2 linked regions of the Caenorhabditis elegans genome follow. The protein of the gene in region 1 purifies or fractionates together with the protein of each later gene. This does not show direct contact. Each region holds a gene or a part of one and is shown on either strand. Other genes may lie near its edges.

The links. Proteins that work in one complex are often made in the same cells at the same time.
Region 2: the proteins of snr-5 (region 1) and uaf-2 fractionate together in Caenorhabditis elegans (co-fractionation; one large-scale study listed by BioGRID). This does not show direct contact.

What each region holds. Positions count from the first base shown.
Region 1 is NC_003281.10:7,860,180-7,866,557, reverse strand, and holds snr-5 (putative small nuclear ribonucleoprotein F), read right to left. Parts: upstream 4,489-6,378; 5' UTR 4,487-4,488; coding exon 4,390-4,486; intron 4,340-4,389; coding exon 4,237-4,339; intron 4,130-4,236; coding exon 4,072-4,129; 3' UTR 3,984-4,071; downstream 1-3,983. Other genes in the region: putative transporter slc-17.3, read left to right, coding at 1,427-1,442, 1,654-1,703, 1,758-1,901, 1,947-2,021, 2,067-2,300, 2,346-2,523, 2,640-2,773, 2,947-3,099 and 4 more; cuc-1 (Copper transport protein ATOX1), read left to right, coding at 5,619-5,627, 5,707-5,779, 5,826-5,953.
Region 2 is NC_003282.8:17,114,111-17,121,701, forward strand, and holds uaf-2 (Splicing factor U2AF 35 kDa subunit), read right to left. Parts: upstream 4,443-7,591; 5' UTR 4,434-4,442; coding exon 4,341-4,433; intron 4,290-4,340; coding exon 3,955-4,289; intron 3,911-3,954; exon of another isoform or gene 3,758-3,910; intron 3,207-3,757; coding exon 2,777-3,206; 3' UTR 2,661-2,776; downstream 1-2,660. Other genes in the region: cyn-13 (Peptidyl-prolyl cis-trans isomerase E), read right to left, coding at 1,516-1,939, 2,300-2,547; Y116A8C.33 (uncharacterized protein), read left to right, coding at 1-973, 1,272-1,307; itsn-1 (Intersectin-1), read left to right, coding at 5,574-5,723, 5,775-6,359, 6,843-7,304, 7,452-7,591.

The DNA of each region.
Region 1 (6,378 bases):
CTTTACTTTTTCTAAAAAAAATAAAAGTATTCAGCTAATAAGTTTGAATGAATTGAGTGGGTGTCGCTTCCAATTGTTTATTATTTTCATTGTTTATTAACTGTTTATGTATTGATTCAGTTCAATTGATAAGTATCACATTTCAACTTTTAGTAACTTGATGCTCAATTTTATGGTCTTGTTGGAAACTGAGAGACGATATGAAATTAACACTAGTGGAAGCTGGAACCAGAAATCGATCAAAAATATACATGAAAGTTTTTTTGTACTTTTTAAAATTGGTATTTCAAAAAACATTTGAAATGCCTAGCATGGGTAGGGCTGATCGAAAATTATCGGAAATTCGATATTTCGGCAACTATTGAGTGAAATTTTTGAAAAAAAAACACAAAAAATATTAGCAAAAAACTAATTTTTACTGTGGTATGAAGAAATTTTTTCCCTCAAAAAATCTAGACACTTCTCCGCCGTTCCCCACGGTGTGCAATAATATTTTGGAAAGTGTTTGCTCTAGAAATGTAGCTGAAATTATGAAACCATGAAACTATAAAACTATGTGCGCTTACGTACTTTGTTGAAACGGCAAGAATCAATGAACGACATACTTTATTTTTCAATAAATTAATTTCAAACAAGATTAATTATCCTGGTAAATCACACTTCTTTACGATCTCTTTTTGATGGGTATATTTCAACTCTAACAATCCAATGTGGAAAGTCAGTTTATCATCAGGAATAATACTGTTGAATGCAAGATTCATTGGTGGAATTGGCCATACGATTATGCGATCACATCTTTGTGGTACTACCATCCGTTCCCAGCATCTGTGAAAGATCACAATATAGGGAGTTATTATATATCTTTCAACGTTCTTTACATAACATGAGTAGTTCACAAATGCTCATCATAAAAAGCAATTCAGTTTTCCTTTCGGGACAGAGTTTCTGCTTTTGGAATTGATCATGTCATTGTTCAAAGATCGCTGATAAGAAAATGAGAATTGAAAAAATCGACTTGTTCACTACAACCATTCGATGATTTACACAAATTGAAAGGACGAGGAGGTACATCCCGATTTTTTAAGGTTCAGAATAAACTGTTCTGCAAAAGATACAAGAAAATCTTTAAAAATAATAAAACACGACTACATCCAAGCCACCTGAAAAAATCATTTTCTTATCATTTGAACTGAAATTTCTTAAACTACATTGACAATAATCGTTAGTTTCTTAAATAATCAAAAAATGATGAATTTACTCACAAAGAGCACAATCAATTTGAAGAATTTATGAAGAATGAGTGTTTCAGGTCAGAGAAAGTTGTGACTGACTCGTTTTTTGTTGAAAATTTTATATATTTCGTAAAAAAGTTTTTATAAACCTATTGATCTCAATATTCGTATAAATTCTATAATCTCATTTCAAAATGGCAAAAAAATTCCGTAAGTTGTATTTTCTGCCATAATTCGATCGTTTTTTGAAAAGAGGAATGTCCTTCGTGAGAATTTTTCTAAAATTTTTCCAACTGATTTTAAAATTAAGCAGTTTATTCCCGTCGAATTCGACAATCAAATATCCCAATGAATTGACAACTCTTCCGAGTTGTATGTAATCATTGTATGCTTCCTTCAAAAACCTTTTACCCAATTTTAGCTTTATTTCACCCATTTTCCCGGCGGCTTCATATTGTTCTACTATGTATGGTGAGTATTACTTTTACCAATATGCCAAAAATTTTGGTAACTTTTTCTTTCCAGATCGGATTTTTCTGCACAACTTTTATGAGAATTCATTTTGCACTGACAATGACTTGTATGGTTAATTCTACTGCTTTAGCAGTGGAAAATGAAATTAAATTGGCCGGAAATTCAAATGTCTCTGAAATTTCTATTATAGAGGAGGTTTGTGAAACGAATTCAGATTTATTTTGTATGTATTGTTTTCAGATTAATTTGGGATCTAATGGTCAATGTGGTTTGATGGATGAAGATGGGCAAAAGAAAGTTGTTGTTGATTATGGGGTACAATTGTTTTACTTATTTGAATCTGGTATATTCTAATTTCAGGGTGAATTGGTATGGAACAGCTACGAACAAAATCTTATATTTTCTGGAACATTTTGGGGATCACTTATTACAGTACTCCCTTCAATGTTCTTCATTGAGCGCTTTTCTCCACGTCACGTACTTCAAATTTCTGTAGCCCTTTACATTTTGGTTACCGTAATAACTCCTTTTTTGGCGACACATTTCGGATATTTTTCAGTTTTCCTGGCAAGAATTGGAATGGGGTTAGGAGAGGTACAATGTGATCAGTTGCAGAATAAATACTTATGAAAGTTCCAGGGTTTTGTATTTCCTACGAACAATGCAATTATTGGGAATTGGTTTCCCAGCTCAGAAAAGAGCACAGCTTTATCAATTTTTACATTAGGTAATCAAATTGCATCAGCTGCAGGAAGTCCTATGGTAGCAGCGGTTTGTGCATCTGATTTGGGATGGCCAGCTACTTTTTATTTTGCTGGTATGTGTAGGGAATTGAAAACTTAAGTTTTGTCGGGATTTTTCTACCTAAATAATCTTCAAACTTTTATTCAGACAACTTTTCCTGGATTTCATATTATATTAAATTATTTCCAGGAATATTTGCTACTGGATGGTCGATTCTCTGGTTCTTCACAGCATCTAGTCATCCGGCAAAAGTAAAAATGATGACAAAGAAGGAGAAAGAGTACTTATTGGCAAATGTGGTAAAGAAAGTGCACAAGTCCGAAGTGAGTAACAAATTTTTTTGGGAATGTACTTACCGTAGTAAATAATTCGAAATCCAAATAACTTCGAGACAAAATACAAAATAAAAAAATTAAAGTATCTTCTCATACAGGAAAACGTTTTAGCACTCTAGTTTTAGAATAAAAATCATATCATGTTATTCTGAAACTTTCAGAAAACCCGTTCGATTCCATACTCTAAAATTCTAACTTCTCCTGCATTTCTTGGTCAACTTCAATGTCATTTCTTTGTCAATCTTTTCATGACACTATTTCAAATTTACTTGCCTTCATATTTCAAAGAAGTTCTACATTTGGGCGTTATTGCTGTAAGACACTCAACATTTCAATATTATTTTTTATTTGTAATCATTTCAGAATGGTACATTTACTGCAATTCCCAACATCTTCAATATGATATTCAAAGTTGTTTGGGGTATTGGAATAGATAAATTAAAAGAAAATAAGATTCTCAGTAATACTAAAGCTGTAAAGGTATCACATGGTGTTGGTCAGTTGATTTTTGCAAGTTTCCAGAAATAGTATTTATTTCAGCAAGTTTTGGGAGTTCCTTCTCACTTATTTTACTTGCATTCTTTGTCGATTGCTCTAATCCAACAACTGGCCTTATTTTCTTCTGTTTAATGTGAGTTTCGATACTTTTCAGCGACTTTTCCAAATTTAAAGTCTTCAGGTATAGCTCAATGGGAACATTTGTGAGTGGATTTTACACATCACTACTCAGTTTGGCACCACAATATACTGCAACCATGTCTGCAATTTCAATGTTTGTTGCAATGATTGGTAGATTGACAACTCCTGCAGTCATGAGCATGTTCAGAAAAGACGTAAGCTATTTTAGAGATTTTTGACAAATCTACTTGCTATCCATATTCTTAGGGAACCGCTGCGGAGTGGCAGAATATCTTCATAGGATGCTCACTGGCACATATTTTCTCTGGTTCAATATTCTTGTTATTCGGATCAGGAGAATTACAAGATTGGGCTAAAGTTGAGGATGATCAGGAGATGAATGAGAAAGAGAAGCTGAAGACAATTGAGAATGGTATTGTAGTTGTTGAAGAAGTAGATGTCAAAAATGAAATGAGCGCCACGTTGGTGAAAGAGGATTCGCTGTGTCTTTGATAATTTACATAATTTGCTGATGATTTTTTTTTTCATTTAATAAATATTTTAAAAACTTCTTTAATAAGATAATTATAATTTATTGATTAAGAATGTGCGAAAAAGACAGAAAACTTGTGAACATAAGATCAATTGTTGAGAAGGGTTTGAAGAATTTAGGCACTCGTCTCGTTTTCTCCGTCCACGCCTCCCACGTAGAGAACGTTGTTGCATCTAAAGTTAGAACATTTTTCAAGATTTACTACGATATAAATGTGCATAAGATTGTAATAACTTTAGTTTCTACGGCTTGAATTTTTTCTTTTAAAAAATGCACCAACCGGATAAGAATCTCTCCGAGATTTCCTTGACTGTTTCCGTCAATGTACTCCTCGGCGTGAGCCAGCTGCAGATTCATGTAGGAGTCGACAGCAACAAGGACACCTTAAACATTTGGCGCTTTTGGTGAAATATTTCATTATGTCAATACAAACCTTTGTACTCCATTCCCCACTTCAGTTTGCAAACGACAAACTTTCCGGTGAGACTGTTGAGGAACGGTTTTGGGTTCACTGGTTGAACTGCGGACATTTCTGAAATATTTTTAAATAATATATTTTGAAACGAGGGATATCGAAAATAGTGAAGGACACAAGTAATTTAAGCAATAAAAATACATTCAAAGCGTTTCCGAATCACAATTGTTATGTTTGAACAATTTAAGAAGTTTAAAACCCATCTGACGGTTTTTTCAGTGAGATGGAAAGATGTATCTATTTTCTAATAGTGACAAAGTTGTTTTAATAAACATAAACTCAACAAAACACATTTAAAAAGGTTAAAACGCTGCGAAATCCTCCATAAAAATGAAAAAAGAACCTTGAATTTTCGAAAGTTGCGCTAGCATCAGATAATACGACATACTGCAGACTGCGTATGCGACACCATACTTGACGACATAAAATTAATCATACCCATGCATCATGCATGAAAAAGATGTGGGTTTTGGTTTTTTAGTTAATTTAAACTGAGTATTTGTATTTTCCGCTTTTTCAATGTCCTTGTACTTTTTGAGTTTTAATAAGTTATGCTATCTAAATATAGTTAACTTCTCTTCAGCCTCGAATATCCTGCTAAATGGCTTTCGGACTACTGTAGATGATAAAACAGTTCTTTATATAAGGCTCTATTTCTTCCAATTCACAACATTTAACAGGCTCCATCAAAATGTTATCGTCTTTATTTTTCTCTTTAACTGATCACCCTTAAAATCGATAATTTTCTCACCCCATAAAAACGCTCGTTTCAAAGTAGAAGATGAGTGAGACGCCGAGAAAATAGAGAAGATGCATTAATGCAAAGCTGTGACGTCATTTGGTGTCTTTATCCTGTTTCTAAGCTTCTTTCTCATTTTTCCATAAATTTTTCCAAAAAGTAAAAAAAAAAACTGGAAAACATTTAAAAGTTGCTTAAACCATTCGAGTTGTCCCATCTCAATAGTTCCTTTTTTAATTATCGCAGTTTCTTGAAAACTTGATCAAAAAATGTCGAATGATGCAAATTCTCAGAGATAAAGCATTGACCACGAGTCGCCCTATCACTGTCTCTCCATTTTGCGTCTCTTTGTTCATTTCTTTTCGACTGTACTAATTCCAATCATTCAAATTAACGTTTTTCAGGCAAGCAGAAGCAGAGTTTCCAGATTTCTGACTCAACAAATATCATGACACAGGTAAATTATTTAACTTTTTACAAATTACAATTAAATATTCTCATATTTGTGAAAAAAAAAATAATTTGAACATTTTCAGTACGTTTTCGAAATGGGCATGACATGCAATGGCTGTGCAAATGCTGCGCGAAAAGTTCTAGGAAAGCTTGGAGGTTTGGTTTACTTTTTGTTAATCAAATTAATCCTATTATTCTACAGAAGACAAAATCAAAATTGACGATATTAACGTGGAAACCAAGAAAATCACAGTTACAACTGATTTACCAGCATCTGATGTACTTGAAGCTCTGAAGAAAACAGGAAAAGAGATCAAGCAACTACAATAAATGACCCTTTTGATTGTCTCTTTAATTTCTATCCGAATGGTTGTGAATATCGTTATTTTTTGACATTTCTGTAATTTTTGTATTAATTTATGACTCTTGCTTGTAAAATTGTCCTATTCTAAAAATAAACGCATTTTCTAAACTATAGATTTTCTGATGCAATATTTCATTCGAGTTCTTTTAACCGAAATAGAAGGTTTCAAATGTAAACACCTTTTCATGCATTGAACCTTATCCTTATTAGATTAAAGCGTCGACGCGTACATCCGGTGTAACCGTCCTTCTCAGAAAGGTAAACGTCGCATTTTCATTTCACTATTCCGCGTCTCTTGATTTCTACTTAATGTGTTCTGAAATCCTACTAACGATGTGGTGAGACACGTCGTAACGAATCCGCTGAAATTTACATTGATGATTTGTTCGCG
Region 2 (7,591 bases), on another chromosome or scaffold:
TCGTTTGCATCCGGCTGTGTCTCCCGATAAAGTTTATGTCGAATTTTTGCGTAACGTTACCTTGTTTTCGAATTACCTGGATAATGTTATCGATCGTTTCACATTTGAGAAAAAGTTTAACAAATTCCTGGACTCTAACTCTCTCCAACTATTAAAAAACAATCAAAGTTTTGTTAATGAAACACTGAAACGTTTTCTAGAAACTAAAAGTGTCCCGAAATTCCTGATCACAGTAAATGAACTCAGAGACCGCATCAAAGCAATCGACTATAAAGAGATTTTCATTTTTCAAAATTTGAGTAAAGCTATTGAAGAAAAACTGAAAAGCCAAGAATTCAAGGACAAGATATCTTCCGAATTGGAAGTTCACAATTGCTTGAAAAAGTTGAAAAACAACTCGGAAGCTGTTATCCGTATGGTTCCATTGATTCAAGCGTTTATGAGAGCAGATTTGCAAAATGTTCAACAGATTGCTCCATTGGTATCCAAATTTTCACACGAACTCTCTACAGTGAAAACAATTCCAGAGAAAATGAGAGAAGTTGCGAGTCCGGTGACATTGAGAATGAATGAGATGTCGCAGATGTTGAATCAAACCGATGAAATTGGCATATCTCAGAGTGTAGTTCAAAGTGTCTATAGTCTAGTGGACTTGGAGCCACTGATTAGTCAGGTCAAGGGACATGAAGATATTTCTTCCTTAGAGACAGCAATAAGTCAAGCAAAAGCTTATATTTCAAGAATTGATGTGTGGAGAGCTAAATCATTGAAAGGATACACTAATCCGCTCAAGAACTTGACAGCCGAAATTCCGGACATTGATATTATCCCAATTGAAAAGGCCCTCAGAGCCATGGATCCGGCGAGCCCTTTTCTTGAGAAGATTGCAGCGTTGGATTTTATTTTATCAAAGCACAATACAATTTTGCAATGGGCCCCATTCAAATTTGGAGTTCTTCAGGAATTTCTAGAGGTACTGTAAATTTGGTTATCGATCCTTGAATTTTGCAAAAAAATTTGTCGCACAGAAAGTGGGGCGGAGCGTAGCTTCACAACACTGCCGCATGAGGTATTTCCCCGCAATATAATTTCAATTTTACTTGTATTTTTCTCGATTTTTCGAATGAAAATGTTATCCAATTCGAAAAGAAGAGAAAAATTTTGCGTAGCTCCGTCCCACTTTCTGTGCAACAAAATTTTTTGCAAATTTTAAGGATCGATAAATAAATTTTGGTAGTAGTGTCATGATATAAAATAGAGAACAATTTCAGATCGTTCTTCTTCTGAAACGAGATGCATTTGAATAGAACTATTGATTTTTTTTTTGCCAAAAATCAATAAATTTTTTATCTCGTTTCGTTATTTTTTCAAAAATTTCGCATATTTTGGCACATTTTCTACAGAAAATTTGATGTTTAGCACGAATTATTGGCATAATTACCAAATAACGTTGTGAAAATGCGATTTTTTACAGTATTTTTTCTAGTATACCGCTCATCAAAATTTGTGCCTAACCGTGAAATTCTCATCATCAAATTTCGTTCCATAGATCGACTTCCCGCCGGTTCCGTCTCCTTTCGTAAAGTCACCGCCTTGAAGCATAAATTTTGGAATAATCCGATGAAATATCGATCCTTCATAACCGAATCCTCGTTCTCCTGTGCACAAACATCTGAAGTTTTCGGCAGTTTTCGGTGTAACGTCAGTTCTTAACTCGATCACTATTCGTCCAATATATCGAATTCCAATCTTCACTCCCAGATAGACACGTGGAAGCTTCGTCGAGGCTGACGACGATGACGTGGCGGCTTTTTCAGCGTCTCCGTCTTCTTCCGCAGCAGCTTCTCCACCTCTTCCATACTTTTTGAGCCATTCGTCGTCTGCCCAGACAGGTTTCTGTGAGCGTTCGGTGGCTTTTGGTGGACGAGCAAAGTTGACACTGAAAATAGCAATTTTAAAATTATAAAAAATGTTTTTTTCACAGGTTTTATTGAAAAACTTGTAAAAATATCTTTAAAAAAATATGAAAAATCACAAAGATTAAACCTGAAAACTAGGAAAATTTTGAAAACAAAATTAAAATTAAATCTTAATTTTAAAAGATGCTCCGAAATAACATGCGCGTGCGTTATTTCGGAGCATCGTTGCTACGTTTAAAATTGAAAATTAATTTAAATTTCCTGGTGTCAAACTACGAAAAACTGCGATTTGCGCTGGAGTTTCACTTTACGTAGTAGACTACGCAAGAATTCCACTTTATTTAGGACTATTTTCTTGGTTTCCAGAGCCAATCCCTAACCGAATAGTCTTTCCGAACAGCTCGCTCTCGTTCATATTATCAATCGCCATCGCCGCATCCTCAGCCATATCGAATTCGACGAATCCGAAGCCACGATGCTTTCCCGACTCGTAATCCATCGGAATCGAGATGGCAACGACGTCTCCAAACGGAATGAACGCGGCCATCAACACTTTTTCAGTGACATCCTCGGTGAAACCTCCGACGTAGAGCGTTCTTTTCCGATTGTGTGGAAAATTCGTGTTCATCTGGGATTTCTGAGCAGTTTGCAGGTGGATTTGTAGAAAATTAAATGAATAGGTAAAAAAGATGGCTGAACAGAACCATTTTTTGGCGAAAAAACTACAAAAAGAAGGAAATAAAAATGGTTTTTTTTGCAATAAAAAAGAGAGAGATAGAGAAAAAAGAGCAGAATTATTGGAATTATATGAGATAAGATACAGAAGAAAAAAGGTAAAAAAAAAAGAACAAGAGAGATTAATATCGTCTTCGATCACGGCTTCGACTGCGGCGTCTTCCACCGCCTCCACCTCCATATCCGTAGCCTCCACCGCCACCGCCACCTCCATATCCACGACCTCCGCCGCCTCCACCCCATCCTCCACGATCACGATCTCTGCCGCCACCGCCGCCACCCCATCCTCCACCGCTTCCATAGCCACCGCCGCCACCACCTCCACCGCCGCCTCCGGAACCTCCACGTTGTGATGGATAATGTCCAGCTGCGTCGGCTCGTCGTCCACGTCTACCATACAGACGATCTCCAAGTTCGGCGGAAATTGCCTTCAAGTGCATGAAATTGCAGAATCCTCCTTTCGAGCAGGTTGTAACTTCGTGTTGACGGCATCTAGACTCGCGGAAGTCGGTGACAGGGCACAACTCTGCGTAGATTGGTTGTCCGTTGAACCTGAAAGCGAAAAATATTTTAAAAATCGATAATTTTACAGAAAATTTTCATAATTTTTGCATTTAGCATAAAAATTTCCAGCTAAATCAGGAAAAAGACGGAAAAATCACGATTTCTGGACAAAAAATATACTTTTTTGCCCCAGAATTTGTGTTTTTTCATCATTTTCGCTGATTCTTGGTGCAAATTTCCAGCTAATTTAGCAAAAAAACATGGAAAATCAAGATTTCTGGGCAAAAAATAAAAATTTTGAGCCGCTCCGCTCACCATCTGCGTCGCGGTCCATTTTACAGAGGTGGCCGAGAGGGAACCTCGGCCATGACCGCGACGCAACTGGCATGCGGAGCGGCTCAAAAAAATTTATATTTTGCCCCAGATTTAGTGATTTTTCCATCATTTTTGCAGTTGACATGAAAAAAGATGGAAAATCACGATTTCTGGTCAAAAAATTAAATGTTTTGAGCCGCCCCGCTCGCCAGCTGCGTCGCGGTCCATTTTAACGAAATGGCCGACGGGAGCGGCTCAGAATTTGTGATTTCTCATCATTTTCGCAGATTTCTTGCACAAATTTCCAGCTAAATTAGCAAAAATGATACGGGCTAGCTCGCCAAAGTGCTCAGATGGCCCCTGTGCCAGGTATATCTCCATTTCAATGCCCTTCCGATGGGCAAAGTACAGTGGCACGTTCTCTTCACAGCACTTGAGCTCAGCTTGAGCCCTATCAACACAGCAGCTTCAGCTTACGCACCATCGATTATTCAAATCATTCTTTGCTTTCTCGGCGTCCTCTTCCTTCATAAATTTGACGTATACGTTTCCGACCATGTGTTCTCCGATATTCTCACAAACGTTGATCTCCTCCACTTCTCCATATTTTCGCTCCATCTCCACAAAAACCTCCTCGTAGAAATCGTCAAAATAGCGCTGTTCCTGATCATTCCGCTTGCCGACTTTATCGAAAGCATCCGCCTGACGGACATCCACTACCGGATTGTGGTAGAAGTTTTTGAGCACAACTGTTGGCGAGAATGTCGGTGTATGATGGGCTCTGGAGCATTTGTCTCCGTGGCGGCAGGCTCCTGTCTGCAAAAATTATTTAATTATTGAATTTTTTCACAGAAATCCACAACAAACCTTGAAGAAAAACGAGCAATTGACTTTATCCTTCTCAGTACCATAGATTGAGGCCAGGTACTCGGCTCCGGAGAGCCCGTCACCATACGACATTGGGATTCACTAAAAAAAATGATTTTTGACGAAAAATTCAATTTCAGCGGGAAAACCCTGAGAATTACGATTTTTAAACACAAATTCTGACGGAAATACTTCAGAATACAACGTAAAACTCAAAATATCAAGAATTCAATGCAAAAAACAAACTGCGAACCTGAAACAGATAGAAAATGGAAATAATAACCAACTGCCCTGCTAAATTCGAAAACGCAACGAGGCACGCTTTTGTGGGCGGGGCGAGCGTCGGCAAGGTGAGCGCGCGCGTTTTTCTAGCGTTTTCTCTATTTTTCTTTTTTTCTCCCATGACCAGAGATTAATAAATAAGTTGAAATTTAAGTGAATTTCTCTTCAATTTTCCGCGATTATACCGATTAATTCATGCACCAAGGCTGAAAGAACATTTAAAAATCAATTGGAGCTCAAAATTATTTGGAGAAAACTCAAGAATACGAGATTTTTCACTCTAAAACTAAAATTTGTTCTTAAAATGCAAAGTTTTAAATGAAAAAAAAAACATTGATTTTTTTAAATATATAAAAAAGGGGTTTTTGATTCCTTTAAAATTCTCTGCGTCTCTTGCATCTCTCGCCGCGCGCTCTCGGGGACCACTCCTCTTTTGGGGCACGCAAAAATCGATAAGCTTTCGGCGGCGCTTGGCCTCTTTCTTATTTCTTCTTATTTCTCAGTTCCTGAATCCAAATTTACAGAAATTTCGGCGCATTTTCTCTTTTTGTTGCGAAATTCGCATTTTTAGCGTTTTTAATCGAAAAACCCCCAATTGACAAATCCGTGGGAAGTTTACATAGAAATTTCCAGCTAAATTAGGGAAAAATCACGAATTTTAGCCAAAAAATTACATTTTATTGAGCCGCCTCGCTCGCCGGCCGCGCCGCGCCGCGGCCAATTTTTACAGAAATGGCCGAGAGGGAACCTAGGCCACGGCCACGACCGCGACGCAGCTGGCGAGCGGAGCGGCTCAAAAAAATCTATTGTTTGCCCAAAAACATGTGTTTTTTCATCATTTTCGCTGATTCTTCGCATAAATTTCCAGTTAAATTAGAAAAATATGGCTCGTTTTTTCCCTTTTTTGTTGCGAAATTCCCATTTTTTGTCGAAAAATCCCCTGTTCTCCAGATGACAAATCCTTGGGAAGTTTCCGATGCCGAATATCAGAAGAATTTCGCAATGTTCGGCCAATTAACCGGAGGACAACCGTTTATGGATGCGGTCACTGCACGAAATGCACTAATGCGCAGCAATCTGCCAACGCAAGTGCTTTCTCAGGTTGATATTAAACTTTAAAAAAAAAAATGTTTTTATTCAAACAATTTCCAGATCTGGGCGCTGTCAGACTTGGATAAAGACGGCCGGCTCGATATTCGTGAATACTCTATCGCGATGCGACTTGCTCTGAATTGTCTTGCCGGAATTCCGATTCCTCCGCAACTTCCGCCTTCCCTGCTGGTAGTTCCCGCCAGAAATGCTCCACCAACCTGGCCTGGAAGCCGGCATGGCAGTGTAGACTACTCACAAACTCTTCCACCGGCCATTGATCGTCGAATGTCGCAGTCATACATCCCATCTGCACCGGTTTCGATTGCCGGAACTCCATCTAGCAGACACAACTCGATTTCAGCTGGAAGCCCTTTGAATAATGATCGCAATGTCTTCGAAGGCCGGCAGCTGGAAAACTGGGCGATTCCTCACCACAATAAATTAAAATATTCTCAATTGTTTAATGCTCTCGACAAGGAACGTCTGGGCTCCCTGAGCTCACAAGTCGGACGGAGTGCTCTCGGGCTTTCAGGCCTTCCTACCAATGTTCTCGCGCATATCTGGTTTTTGTCAGATGTGAATAAGGATGGAAAGCTATCAGTGGATGAGTATGCGATTTCTCAGTATATGATTGAAATGTTCAAAGTATGTGTTTTGTTACCGGCCAGAAGCTCTTTATTCAAAAATTGCACTTTTTCCATGAAAATCCAACTTTTCTGATCTAAAATTGATATAAAAATGTAGAAAAAGGTTCTTTCCATCTGAAAATATTGTATTTTTCATGTTTTTTCAACAAAAATAAGGAATATTTTCAATTTTATTTGTCAAAAACTTGGAATTTCAAAATAAAAAGTCAAGCCACGTGGACGCTCCTCCCACTTTGCAACATGCGGCGCGAGTTTTCGCAACACTGCCGCACGGTTGTATTTTCTTCACGAATTATAGTTTTTCAGTGAATTTTACAGGATTTTTCAACGTTTTGCTTGTTTTTTTCAGCAAAATTTCATGTTAAAACGCTGAAAAATCTCAAAATTTCAAATTTTTCTGTACGAAAATCGGAAAATACCCTAAAATCATGAAACACCATAAAAATTTCCGCTGAAAAACTTAAAAAAATTTTTTTTTCAGAGTGGATTCGCGCTTCCAAAAATAACCCCGCTGGAACTTGTCCGGATGTGCGGAATCTCATCAAGATCAGCCAACAATACCCCTGAACTCGAACCAGGAGCGGAGCCACCACAAAAGTCACCAGCTCCGAAAACTTTTGAAGATAAGCGACAGGATAACCTATCTAAAGGTCAGGCAGAACTGGAGAGACGACGTAGAGTTCTTGAAGAAGAGGAGCAACGAAGACGAGCAGAAGTAGAGAAGAAAGAGAGAGAAGAAGAAGCGAAGAAAAATAGAGAAAGACAAGAAAAGGAACGACAGGCTGAAGTTGAGCGGCAAGCTGAACTAGAAAGACAGAGAATAATTGAAGCTCAACGGGAGGAAGAGGAGAAGAAGCGGAGGCTAGAGATGGAGAGACGCAGAGAGGAGGACGAGAAAATGAGAAAAGTTCAAATGGAGAAGGCGAAAGTTAAACAGATGCAGGTACAGATGCCTGAACAGAAAAAATGGAATTTTTATGTGGATTCTAGGCGATTTTTTGAGTTTTTCTTTTGAAAATTGAACTTTTGGAACACAGAAATTTTATTTACTCATGATAAAAAAAAACCAAATTTAAATCCCTAATTTCAGAACCAGAAGCAACAAGAGAACGAGCGTCTTGCACAACGTCAGCAACGAGAAAAAACGCTGCAATTTCAATTACAAGCACTTGATGAGAAGGTTATCGATGTTGAAGTGGACATTGGAAAAGCCAAAGAAGCAGTAGCAGA